Linked DNA regions of Saccharomyces cerevisiae S288C. The protein of the gene in region 3 purifies or fractionates together with the protein of the main gene of each other region. This does not show direct contact. Each region holds a gene or a part of one and is shown on either strand. Other genes may lie near its edges.

Region 1 (7,581 bases), on a different chromosome or scaffold from region 3:
TTCTTCGCTTTGATTTAAGCTGTTGAGGTTTTCACTTGATTTTGGTTCAAATACATTATCTCGTTTTCTAATGTTATAGCCTCGAAGAGTTGTAGCCTGCGATGCCATAATATTACCAGTAGAATTGTAGAGCACAGTACAAATACCCGAAATGATATTCGTATATCTAGTATTATAGCTTCAACCGCTTGCAATATGTTCTCTTTCAAACTACCTTATTATCAAGCCTATATCTTATTTTTCACTGATTAGGATTGATAAGCGCAGATAAGCGAAGATAAGAAAATTTTCACTCTGTTCGCCCGCTATTTAGGATCAGTAATTTTAGTAACGTTAATCACTAGGAACGACGAGAAAGATGACAGAATAATATCTCATTGAAACTTGAAGTAGCGTAATTGAAATATTAAGTTCAAACTCAGAAAGGGGCAGCTATCACGAATGAATAACAATATTTTCAATGAAAGATTTCGTTCAACAGCATAGTGTTTTACTTTACAAAAATTTACATAATACTTCACCTTTTTTTTCTAATCTAAATACCTATCAAAAGGTTCCCCTAAAACGTTTTCAACAACCTTGACCAAACCGGTCCTGACTTCACGTTCGATCTCTTCATCATCATCTTCCAATAACTCAGCGATGACGGGAACGAGCTGTGGCAATAGAACTAACCAACTTTCACCTATCTTTGAGTATATCAACTTCATGGCTCTAATAGCCCATAATTTTTCATTGGAGGAACAGGAAGCTTTCATGTGTTCAACGATTAGTTTATTCAAAATTTGGTTATGCTCATCAACGCCACTATTGTTAGAAGCCAGAGCGCCAATTGCCTTGACCAGGTACTTCCCAATAGAGTTTTCTATATTAGATAGTTGATTGACCAAGGATACAGAAATTAACTCGAATCTGGAAGTTGATTTCCAGTATTCGTCTCTATCAAACTTTAGCGAAGAGGTTAGAGAGTTGATTACCAAACGTCTTAAATTAACGTTTTCCATGTCCTTGCTAATGAATCTTTTTAACAACATATCAACAGGTTCTAACAAATACGTGAAATAGGAAGTAATTATACCTCTCAAATTTTCTTGAAGCTTGTTGAAAAATTTGAAAAATGCCAACAGTCTTTCTGTTTCAGTGATACCTGCATTTGTAACGCCTTCACCGTCAAACGCCCATCTTACTAATATAACAAATAGCGGTCTAAATACTTTGTCATTCATCTTCAGGACGTAAGAGTTGGAAATTTCGTGAACGGATGCCTCTATCCTACTAATTGTATTATTATCGAAACTGGAAATGGATCTAAATTCGAATAAAGATAATAGTAACTTAAAAAATATTGGCGATTGTGAGGTTGCGGATTTTTTATCAATATTTTCAACAGTGGATTCTAATGTACTCAAAAATAGACTAACAGCAACTGTATCATTGGACGTTGCTATTTCAGTGGACCAAATTCTGAATAAAACTTTCAAAACTTCCTTCAAATCTATATTCTCAATTATCAATGAAATTACTGACAGCCTAATGCTGCTGTCAACTTCACGGGAAAAATAAATAACATGCAAAACATCCAAAATATTTGACATCAAGAAACTTGGTATCCTTTTGATTAGACCGGCGAACAGCAACAGTATAGCAACTTGCAACTGCTCTTTTAATGGGTTACTACTATCTGCCAATGAAGCATCAAATAATTTAATAGAAGGTGGGACTATTTTTGGATAGAACGCAATTGACTTGACTCCTAAAACTTGAACACAGTTAGTTATCAATGCCAACGAAGATATCTTGACCTCTGTCATATCAGAACTAACTTTTTCAGTAGCAAGGGTGAGGGCTTGAGTTAATATGGACCCCTCAAGCTTCTTACCATATTTGCTCACTAAAGCCGTCATCGTGTTCAATATTACTTGAGAAATAACAACAGATTTAGATTCCAAAGGCATTCTGTCGAGCAAAACCTTCATCACATTGTTAACTATAGGAATAGCTTCAGAGCCTTCTAACTCGAATTTGGACCCTATTACCAACGTTAGGTGGTATCTAATATCTTCATTAGTGGATGTACTGAGTAAGGGTAATACCGCATTAACAAACTCGTCAACTGGTAGAATTTGTAACACATTGCCAAGCACCTTGAATAGAATCTCCTTTATTTCAGTCGTGTGATCTGATAATGATGTTTCAGAGTCGGAAGCTTCCTCATTTTCTTGGGAAGTTATACATGAAAAGGTTAATTCTACAGAATTAATGAAAAAAAGAACACCTTCTAAAAGGGTTCCAAATTCTTCCCTGATGTTTCTAATTAACTTTTTATCGCTTGTTTCATCTAACAAAACAGAATATACCTTTAGTCTTAAATTTCTCCTCACATCGTAATAATCTTGATCTGTTTCCTCGGTTATTTTATTGATAAACTCAAAGGTATTGTTCATAAATGTCAAAAATTCACTTTCCGAAAAATTCAAGACACCATTTGAAAACAAGACACGGGATTCTAGTGATTTCTTCTTTTCCGAGGAGCTCTTTGATGATGTCAACAATTTGATGATATCGAGTAAGTCATTCAAACCTGATAATTCCTCATTGACATGTAGATCAACGAGTAGGGCCTTAATAAACTCAATTAATATTCTTGCCTCGCCAATTTTAAAGTTGACTAAAGCTGAAGAATACTGTTGTGCAATCAAGAAAAGGAACGAGCCCAGTGCCTTTACTGGATCAAGTGTTTTGATTAACGTAGAAAATAATTTAACCCTCCTATGTCTTGGAACATGTTGCAAAGCGGTTGTGAAGCTCAACAAAAGGAACTCCATTTCCTCTTTTTCATTTCCTTTGCTATTCTTGATCAAGGCAGGGACAACAGTTAGTATCGTACGCTCAACAACTTTAGTTGTGAATTCATCATCTTGACGAATACTATGGGCTCCCATAAAAGTAAAGATAGGCATTACAGAATGCAAAATAACTTCCGAACTTAAAGTAGCAAGAGATCCAATTACAAGTAATAGTTTGTTTTGGACTTGCGGAGATGCAGAATTTCTAATAGCGGATACCAATATATCTGCCCTTACGTTGGTTAGTTCTGTACAGCCATGTTCCTTCAAGTATGTGATAGTGTTCAGCGTACAAGAAATCAAAGTTTCTTGCGCATATAAAACCGGTAATCCACCGTCTTGATCCAAAGTTTCCAGATCTGATAATAAGGAAAGTAAAGTGAACAAAAGCTTTTCGGATCCAACATTTCTGACTTTATCAAGTGCTTCCAAAATAATCGTCAACTTTCTCAGGTGCAATTCCGCCAGTTGCGAAACCTCCTCTTTCAAAAATGCGTTTTTACTTGTTGATGAACGTCTTCTTCTTCTTTTAGAAAAGTCTGTCTGATCCATTTCGTTACTGATACTGTTTTGATTTAGTATGGATACAAAAATATCGGAATCTAACGGCAATGATTGTAGTACACCGACTGTATCGTACGATGATTCTACGTTACTCGAAGAATCCACGATATTTTGGACGATTTTTAGTTTTTGAGCATTATTTAATGAAGCGAATATGCTGATAAGCCTCTCGGCAGCTATGTTAGCTAACTGCTCATAATCTGAGTTAAGAGCACTGAGAACAAAATCGATCATGAATGACTGCTTTTCTTTTGGTGATACCAAATTAACTAAAGAGCGCTCAAAATGCTCAAAGTTTGTTTTATTAGCAATACAACTCTTTTCCCAACTAGATCTGTTTTCTAAGTAGTGGGAAATAAATTCCTCAAATAGGGAGGAATAAGAAGATGCATAAGTCGGACTCTTGTTCAGGTTATCCAACAACACTGTCTTGGCATACGGAGAAGGTATTAGTAGGGCTTGATTAGCCCAAAACATCAAAAAGACTTTTTCATTTCTCTTTGGCGTTAAAATTCTGGATATGTCATAATTCTCAGTAACGTACTCATTCAAAAATCCTGATAACCATGCCTCACTATCTTTGGGATTTAACATAGGAATGGTAACGTTCTCTCCGTAAAGTTTATCAGACAAAAAGTAGTGCTTAGTGGATGGTCTTTTAGCAATCAAGGAAAGAATCTTCTTCACGCCAGTCCTAACTTTTATAGAAGCATCTCGCAAAGCGCAAATCAAGCATGGAACTAAAGTAAAAATATTAACTTCCTTTTCAATACTATTAATATATTTTGCAATATTGTTTAAAGATATTAGCTTTAGCGCGGTTGGAGCGGCTGGAGATATAGTTACTCTTAACAAAAACGTTATTCTTGATTCTAAAGTAGTGAAAAATGAAGTCAAGAAGGAACTTGCTTTATAGCCTTTACCAATAGCTTCAGTGAATAAAGATAAAACCTTTTTGTATCTTTCTCCAGTTTCTGTTAGCATGGACACATTCGTTGTGTTTATCAATTCTGAATGCTTATCCAAGAATGTTTGAAATGAAGCGGTATCCTTTTTAGTAGTTTCCACGGGGTCGCTTAACTGCTTTACAATGTCGGTGTTAACATCGGCATTAGTGAACAAAGATGTAGTAAGCCTGATTTCGAAGAGTTCGCCTGTCAGTCCCAATGATTTCAAACATTTTAACACCAAATCTTCATTTATGGAGATAAAATATTCGAATAGTTCTACTAATTGTGACTTGTCCTCTAAAATTTCGGAAAGGTAAATCAAATCAGTGATTATCAACCTAACTTCGTATCTTTCTAGTCTTATTTTTTTTAGTAGGCTAAGAATAATGTTCAATTTGGACCGATCATACCTTGCTATGGATCTTGTATAGGAAGTAATGAATTTATCACAAACTGGTTTGTCTTCCTTATCTAAGAAGGTTAGTATAGACACAGTGTCGAACTTGCTATCAAATAACTTGAAAATTTTGGAAGGTAGCTGATCTACGTTACCTTGTCCTTTTAATGTTTGGAACAGCTTACAAATCGTGAGGAGTGCTGAATGTTTTGCCTCTTTAGCATCTAAGTTTGAAAGAATGGTTTCCATGGCAGCTAAGATAATTGTTTTCTTTAAAGGCAAAGCTGTAGCAAATACAACTAATATGGTATGTGCAGCTATTTGACAATCCTTTGATTTAGAGGCTAAAAGTTTAGCAGATATTTCAAGTAAGATTGGAACAAGCTGATTCAGTTTTTCATCGTTGTTTGAATTGAAAGCAACAACGTTAATAAAGCAGCATGTTGTAAATAAAAGCTGGTTAGTATACGTTGCATTATGCTTAATACATTGATCCAAATAACTGGTATAAAGTTTCAGAAAATCCATGTCATTAAAGAGCTTTATCATGGTTAGCGCCGTTGGGGGCTTTTCACTTCTAACAAAATTCGACAAACAATTAAACAAAGGGGGCAACTTAATAATGCTGAGAATTCTCTTAAAGACAGGTGTTTGGTAGTAGTTGAGAGTGGACAAAAGCAGCATCTCTGTGTTTTTAACATGTATTTGAAAACGACGAACCAACCATTCTGTTGCATGTAGTGTAGGTGCTAAATACCATTTAGAAGAAGCCAATAGCAAGTAAGCATTGATAGCATTATCCAAATCTTTAATTTCTTCTTTTGTTTGGACATTTCTATCAAGAGAAATGGAAGACTCTGAAAAGAGTGTTCTTGAGAAAATGGCAAATTTTGGCTCAATTTGGCTCAATTCTTCAAGAGCCTTACTAGCGTTTTCAAAAATGAAATCGTAATCTTGTGTTGCAGCCGTCTTTGAGTTATAAATCAAAGAAGCAGAATGAAGTTTTTGTCTTCTCTTTCTATCCAACGCAACAGTAGCATTGTTGGAAGCAACTTGAGCTAATTGGTCACTCAACGAAGACATTTTCAAAGTTATTCGTACTTTGGTGGCCAGTTAGATAAGTCTGATTCTGAAAGGTAATAAAGAAAGTATTTGTTACACCTTCGAAAATATCTAGCTCATCGCTAACTGAAAATTTTTTTCTTTGCTTAACGCAGAAAGAAAAAAGAAAAAAAAAAAAGTCATGTGACTTGAATATTATTAATCTATGTATGTTATGATTATTGGCTATGAAACCATAAAATTGAAAAAAAGGATTCATAAGCTGATATGTTATTTGTACTTAATGCTATATTTATAATTTACTTTTGAAATTTTTCTTAGTGGGTCAAAGTCTTCTTTGATACTGAAGAATGACCCAATGGCAACACTTGGTCCATTGGTTAACAAGTTTCTAACGAAGTGGACCTTGTGAGAGCTTATAAACTGAAAAGACCAGTTTTCTTTTTACCAAAGGGGTAGACAAAGAGTGAAGAAGCAAATAGTCCCACAGAAATACCGACACAAACTTGAATCATTGTCATACCAAATGACATTGAGGACGATGGATCGGAGGTGCTTGTCGTAATGGTTTCATTAGCATTAACAATTGTATTTGCACTTTGCAACCCAGACAACAACGAATTTTGTGAAGCAATACCAGATGGCACTTGAACGAAGATTGCGGGAAGCATAGCTGATACCGCTAAACCTTTCCAAATTCTGGAATATAGATTACCTAAAACACCTATGACAAATGCAGCTAAGGCGGCAGTAAACTCTGTCGAATTCGCAAAATGCTTACCGGCCCAATATGTTACGACATAACCGGTGCAAGAAATGAAGACCATAACTGGCAGTTGTGAGATGTGTGCTTGATTTAATAACGAGATACTAATGGTAAACGCTGGAACGAAGAGGAACCTGAACCACGGAGAAATTAATTGAGGACATGAAATTTCGTTAGTGGCATTGTGATACATCCATCCAAACAAAGCTGAGCCCAATGTTATGCCAAAACCCAAAAACAAAGAATAAATAATGGCGTAGAACATACGGACCGCGCCAGCAACTAGGCTTCGACTTTGCAGTTCTAGTGCACCACACAGAATAATATAACCTGGCAGGATTAATGCCAATGAGCCTTGTGTAACTGCACCAAAGCAGATGTGAGAACGAGGGATAGAGCCAAAAGCTCTACCGCAGAAGCTAACGACAATAGATGCAGAAATTTCGAAGACGTTTGAATACATGTATGACTTTTGTGAAAGAATAAATTGTAATGACCCCACACAAAGCCCCATAAAAAATGAGATTGCCAGGTTTACCCAATCGCCACCAAAGGCATACGGAGTGACCATAGCGGAACAAAATGCATATAAAAGAACACACATCCAAGGTGGATATAGATTCGTGTCAGCCAAAATTTGATCGAGTAAAGCATTACCTTCATCGGCACCTAAGGTATCATGGACAACTCTTTTGTAAACGGCATGAACTTGATGCAGCTTCCAAAGGTTTAGACCTTGAGTACACCTAACCAATTGAACTTCGGAAGTTCTTGTTGTTGCATCACCAAATGAAACAATCATACAACCTGGAAGATACAAAACTGACCATCTATTTCAAGGACTCTAGAAGTCATAACCATATATTCTTCAAGCCTATGCGTCGGAGCACCATACATCATAAGAGCTCTACACATGCGTAGGATGAACCGGTGTCTTTGTAAAATGTCTGCAATGTGAACCGTAATTTTCGCTTCAGTTTTTAGTCTTTTCTTCAG
Region 2 (2,896 bases), on a different chromosome or scaffold from region 3:
ACCGGGCCTCTGCTGTCAAGGTGATCCGCCTCTGGCAGCGATTCTGCTGACATTGCCTCTAACCCTTCAAGAGTAGCTTGAGAATCATCGAAGTGCTCTAATTTTAAGTTTCCAACTCCGGGGGTAGGCTTATCATGAGAGTGCCTGATGGGTTCGAAAACCACTTTCCTGGCCATATCATCCGTCATCTTTCTAGTGTCATCTAATGATGTATCATCTCCTGAGATAGCATTAGAGCTTGAATGTGAGTTCGAGTGAATATGGCCTTTCAAATTTCCAAATGCCAATCTAGATAATGATGATGGTTTACTTTTACTTCCTGCTTCCGTTGTATTAAGCTGTTGGTTACTTGGAGTTGATGATTTGGATGCTGCAAGAATATTGTCTAAATTTTTCAAAAATGGGCCATCGCTTTCTTTTGTCGATGAAGTGTTTTTATTGTTAGTGCTATTTTCGGAAAGGGCTCCTGATATATTAGATGAGTTTTTTTTCCTGTCCTTTGGTTCATTCCTGGAAATTGTTCCATTGTCAGCGTCTTGTACGTTTATTTTGGGAATGTGGCTTACGGCATTATGGGCGAAGGAAAGAAACGTTTCAAAGGCGGTATGTTCATCATGGCCGTCTGGAGTTTTTTCCTCAGCTTGATTGCTGGACCCTTCTCGTTTCCCACTTTGCAGTTTTTCCTTTTCTAATGCCTGGACGGATAAACTTGGTACAGAATTTGAATTCGAGTTACCATCCTGAAAGCGACCCTTCAATGAACCTGCCGTCAAATTCGTGTTTGTCTTTTCAAGCCTGTTTGTTTCCATGGGATCTATAACGATTGGAATATTGAATACACCTTGGCTATGCGCTAAGGAAGATGCCGCCGCCTTTTGAGATCCTTTTGCAGGAGATTCCGTGAAAGTTTCGGGCTTAAGTAAAGACGGAATATCCGGATTTCCTCCTACTCTTCTGAATCGCTCAGCACTGGCTGTTGTGCTAACATTCTCTCCTGTAGTATTATTTAAAAAATTACGATCCTTCTTGTGCTTACGTTTGACTCCAATTGTCCTTAAAAAGGCAGTGCCCCAATGGTGCTTCTTTTTTGAATCTCTAGTCATTACTGTATATTTTCAACACTATCCATGGAGAGTAAGAACCACACACAGTAGCAATAATTTAATATCAATGGCAATAGCAACGAAATTACAGTAGATACCGTGAGCCAGCAGAAACAGATTGATATTTCGTATTTCAAGAAGGCAGAATCATTCAACCACCTACCGTCCCCCAGGAGGACAGATCCCAACGAGGGACCTTTGCGCCCAATTCTACTCCTGCAAGGGTTTCACTTAGAAATGCTTTTGCCAAGGTAAAGGACCCCTAAGACTAGAATGAACTACGCCGGTCCGTCCGGCCGTCATACTCCGTGGAAATTTACTTCTAAAAGGAGAAACAGCGATCTTTGCCGCATAAAGCCAGCCACTACTGGCGTGGAAAGATTTTTAGATTAGAAGACAATACAAAGCGGCAACGTCATAACCTTGGTATTTATTGGGCAAGCATTTTCATATCAGCGTACATACACCAGCAATGGGAATGTAAAGAAGAGTCGTTACTAGCATATTTTCTATTCATGCGGGTACCCAACATGTCACGTTTCACGAATTCTCGTGCAGTTTTTCAGCGATGAGCTAAGGCAGATGGTTATGGACTGTGCCTTCTGTAGTCTGTGGAAGAAAAAACTGGTTAACAGCCTACAGTAGAAATCGATTAATATAAACATATATCTAGCAACGTAACGGAGTATTAGATCAGTAATGGAAGATATCGAAAAGATAAAACCATACGTTAGGAGTTTTTCAAAGGCGTTAGACGAGCTGAAACCAGAAATAGAGAAACTAACGTCGAAGTCACTGGATGAACAGCTGTTGCTATTATCTGATGAGAGGGCTAAATTAGAACTAATTAATCGTTACGCGTATGTATTGAGTTCTCTGATGTTTGCTAATATGAAAGTCCTAGGCGTCAAAGATATGTCTCCTATACTCGGCGAACTGAAAAGAGTAAAATCATACATGGATAAGGCTAAACAATACGATAATAGGATAACCAAATCCAACGAAAAATCGCAGGCAGAGCAAGAAAAAGCTAAGAATATCATTTCCAATGTTTTGGACGGTAATAAAAACCAATTCGAGCCCTCTATAAGCAGGAGCAACTTTCAAGGGAAGCATACGAAATTTGAAAACGATGAACTGGCAGAGAGTACAACGACTAAGATTATTGACAGTACCGATCATATAAGGAAAGCAAGTAGTAAGAAAAGTAAAAGATTGGATAAAGTTGGAAAAAAGAAAGGAGGGAAGAAGTAGAGGTCGACGTATACTGGTACATGAGTGAAAAAATGATTAAAGGTGATGTGAGAGCACAAATGCAAAAATGCTTATAGGGTTTATATACTTTTATAATAACAATAAGAACTCGTTGAAGTAACTAATATGTGTATATGCTATTCTTGTAGTTGGCAGTGAACACTTTTGTGTGAATTGACGTTATATAAGACTGTAGAAATATCTAAGAAAAGAGAGTTTTCATAAAACCCTTCAAGCTTAACTACCAAAAAGCATTCATACTTAGAAGTTGAAATGCACGATGATGCCAAATTGATGAAAAAAGCTAAAAATGCATTTCAGAAGGGAAGAAAATAATAAGCAACATAACAGAGGGAATAGGTGCGCTTAGTCTTGTTGCTGTAAAATTAACCAATTATTCTTGTATTGTTCTAACGATCCGACCATTTCATCCTGAATACTTGTCTTCCTGCCAGCTCCTAATTTTTTATCGTGAGTGGAGCCAGCGAAAGTTTGAGCATAAATTTCATAAGGACCGAAAATTTGCCTTTCATCCGGGG
Region 3 (3,195 bases):
GCTCGTTCCTTGTTATCTGAGTACAATATTTTGAAGAATGGTAAGGTTTTCGTTGAATCTAACCACGAGGAATACTTCAAAACTGCTGAAGATCAGAAAGATTCTATTGTCTCGTTGATCAAGGCCATCGACGAAGTCACTGTTGTTCGTGATGCTTCCGAAATTCCAGAAGGTTGCGTATTGCAATCTGTTAACCCAGAAGTCAATGTACATCTTCTCGTCAAGGGACACGTTGATATTGATGCTGAAATTGCGAAAGTTCAAAAGAAACTTGAAAAGGCTAAAAAATCCAAGAACGGTATTGAACAAACCATTAACAGTAAGGATTACGAAACAAAGGCTAATACACAGGCCAAGGAAGCCAATAAAAGCAAGCTGGATAACACTGTTGCCGAAATCGAAGGTTTGGAAGCTACTATTGAAAACTTGAAGCGTTTGAAATTGTAGATTGAAGGTAGATAAAAATTAATGTAATATATATATATATATATGCTATGTATATGTAACAACGAAAATGTTAAGAATTTTAGAACATTGAATAATAACTATTTCCAAATATAAGAGGTAGTCTCCGGCATACGACATAGCATGTTGTGGTATATTATAATCTATAATGGCTATACAACTAGACGAGGTGATATATTGTCCTGTATTATTCTTCTTATATTTGTGACAAGTTCTTGACACTTTTGCTCACCCAGCTCCAGTAAACTGAACAATTGATCTTCATTAAAATCACCATTGCTGTCTAACAATAAAACGTTTTTCACGACTTTACCGCCATTGACGAACTCCAGAGCTAAAGTGTGGACAGAGAGCGAAATCTTCAATTGCTCGGCAGTGGGATCGACAATGATATCACTAGTGTCTTTGATTATTGCAATAGGGATGCTTGCGCACATACTATTTAAGGCAATTCCTGCATCAACTAAAGCCAAAAATGCCGCATTTATACAACAACTTAGCTCTCTCAGGGAGAATTCGGCTTCATCTTCACCAGATTCCAGAATTTGACAAGTTATCTGGCAGAGCTGTCTTGGGTAACAATGACGAGTGATGAGTGGGGTCAGAACTGCCCGTAATTTATCTTCGAGTACCTTCTCTCTTGTTGTGGCCACCCCTTTCGCGGGACGTACAATAATTTCTAATGCTAATTGTGTAGGCAGTTCTTGTCTTGCTTTTGGTTCAATAGGGCCTGTTACAGAACAAATAACCTTGGTGTCTTGTGATACGAATTCAGATGAACCATCTACATGATCTAATATCCCTATTTCTGCTTGGACGCTCATTTTTTTTTTTTTTTCAGCAGAATCTAATCTATTCTTGGTATTGGGCTCCTTGTTATTACCATATATGCAGAGATATTTTATGCATCTTAACTGGTTCATCTAACAAATTTTCCACTCTTTTTTCCACAATCCGATGCGCTTAAAAGGAAAAAAAAAGTAGTAAAAAGAAAAAGAGAGGTACATAATAGTCTTTATGAAGAAAAGGCGCTATTTTGTCACCTTTAACTTGGCATAGTCTGGAGCTTTATATAAACCATTCAAAGTACATAAATGTTGATATGTTCAAAGAGGAGGACTCGTTAAGAAAAGGGCAAAATGTGGCCGCGTGGAAAACTTTGTTGGCTGGCGCCGTATCCGGGCTGCTTGCCCGTAGCATAACTGCTCCCATGGATACCATTAAGATCAGATTGCAATTGACCCCTGCAAATGGGCTGAAGCCCTTCGGAAGTCAGGTCATGGAGGTGGCCAGAAGCATGATAAAGAACGAAGGCATCCGGTCCTTTTGGAAGGGTAACATACCCGGTTCTTTGCTGTACGTTACCTATGGCTCAGCGCAGTTTAGTTCATACTCCCTTTTTAATAGATATTTAACTCCATTTGGACTAGAGGCGCGCTTACATAGTCTTGTTGTCGGAGCCTTTGCTGGCATAACCAGTTCCATCGTTTCCTACCCGTTCGATGTTTTACGGACCCGACTAGTTGCCAACAACCAGATGCACTCAATGAGCATCACGAGAGAAGTGCGTGATATCTGGAAACTAGAAGGTCTCCCCGGATTTTTCAAGGGCTCCATCGCGTCAATGACAACCATAACTCTAACCGCATCTATAATGTTCGGAACATACGAAACAATCAGGATATACTGTGACGAAAACGAAAAAACGACCGCCGCGCATAAAAAATGGGAACTGGCTACTTTAAATCACAGCGCTGGTACCATTGGCGGCGTCATTGCTAAGATCATTACTTTCCCCCTCGAAACGATCCGTAGGCGAATGCAGTTCATGAATTCGAAGCATCTGGAAAAGTTCTCCCGTCATTCGTCTGTATACGGTTCTTATAAAGGGTACGGATTCGCAAGAATCGGTTTACAGATTTTGAAACAAGAAGGTGTGAGTTCGCTTTACAGAGGTATTCTGGTGGCCCTTTCCAAGACAATACCCACCACTTTTGTGAGTTTCTGGGGGTATGAAACTGCCATCCATTATTTGCGGATGTACTAAAGTTTCCAATCTTTTTTGTCACATGTACACACTCATATACATATACGAAATCATCATATCTTATATTCTTCACTGACAAAGATCGGTAGCCGCCCGGTTTTCCATTCCGATTACGGCCTGACTCAGTCGCGCCGTCTTCCTCTAATAACAAAAAATCGAAAAAAAAAGAGGAATCTCGTTGCTAGCGATCTGACGCCAACCCTTTTTCCGGTTTTTCTTAGTTGCCTGCTGCCCCGCACCGGTTTTTCTTCTTTTTTTTATCTTTTTTTCCGCTCAGTCAGCGGGGAAGGGAGAGAAGGAAACAATGAATCGGATCTTCCGATGGAACCAGCGTCAGGGACCACTACATCTGCTTGTTGTTTCAACACAACTTACATCTGCGCAAGCACACGGACTAGGAGTAACAAGAAGTAGTAAAATTGAAGAAAGCAAGGACTGCTGCAATCTCTGCACCCTTGTGGTAGCCACCCTTCTTAGATGTGGCATACTTACACTTTTTTTTTTCTTTTTTTTTTTTTTTTTTCGCCTTTTCTCATTTCTTGGCTCCTTAATAGCCAAGAAATGAGAAACGTGGGAGATGTTCAACCTCGCCTGATCCTACCAAAAAAAAAAATCGCAAAAATAAGCGGGAAAAAATGTCAGATTCTAAGTTTCAAACCTCCGGAGATGATTCATCATCACCA

What was found.
Region 1: the proteins of RRP46 (region 3) and UTP10 purify together in Saccharomyces cerevisiae (affinity purification with mass spectrometry; 2 studies listed by BioGRID). This does not show direct contact.
Region 2: the proteins of RRP46 (region 3) and LRP1 purify together in Saccharomyces cerevisiae (affinity purification with mass spectrometry; 6 studies listed by BioGRID, with this or other methods). This does not show direct contact.

What each region holds. Positions count from the first base shown.
Region 1 is NC_001142.9:211,470-219,050, forward strand, and holds UTP10 (snoRNA-binding rRNA-processing protein UTP10), read right to left. Parts: upstream 5,841-7,581; coding exon 531-5,840; downstream 1-530. Other genes in the region: GZF3 (Gzf3p), read right to left, coding at 1-108; pheromone-regulated protein PRM10, read right to left, coding at 6,236-7,387; YJL107C (uncharacterized protein), read right to left, coding at 7,384-7,581. UniProt on the Saccharomyces cerevisiae protein: Involved in nucleolar processing of pre-18S ribosomal RNA. Required for optimal pre-ribosomal RNA transcription by RNA polymerase I together with a subset of U3 proteins required for transcription (t-UTPs). Involved in ribosome biosynthesis.
Region 2 is NC_001140.6:265,736-268,631, forward strand, and holds LRP1 (Lrp1p), read left to right. Parts: upstream 1-1,802; coding exon 1,803-2,357; downstream 2,358-2,896. Other genes in the region: LAM4 (Lam4p), read right to left, coding at 1-1,103; putative serine/threonine protein kinase KSP1, read right to left, coding at 2,724-2,896. UniProt on the Saccharomyces cerevisiae protein: Required for exosome-dependent processing of pre-rRNA and small nucleolar RNA (snRNA) precursors. Involved in processing of 35S pre-rRNA at the A0, A1 and A2 sites. Required for activity of RRP6 in 7S pre-rRNA processing.
Region 3 is NC_001139.9:675,054-678,248, forward strand, and holds RRP46 (exosome non-catalytic core subunit RRP46), read right to left. Parts: upstream 1,290-3,195; coding exon 618-1,289; downstream 1-617. Other genes in the region: VAS1 (valine--tRNA ligase), read left to right, coding at 1-447; thiamine transporter TPC1, read left to right, coding at 1,568-2,512. UniProt on the Saccharomyces cerevisiae protein: Non-catalytic component of the RNA exosome complex which has 3'->5' exoribonuclease activity and participates in a multitude of cellular RNA processing and degradation events.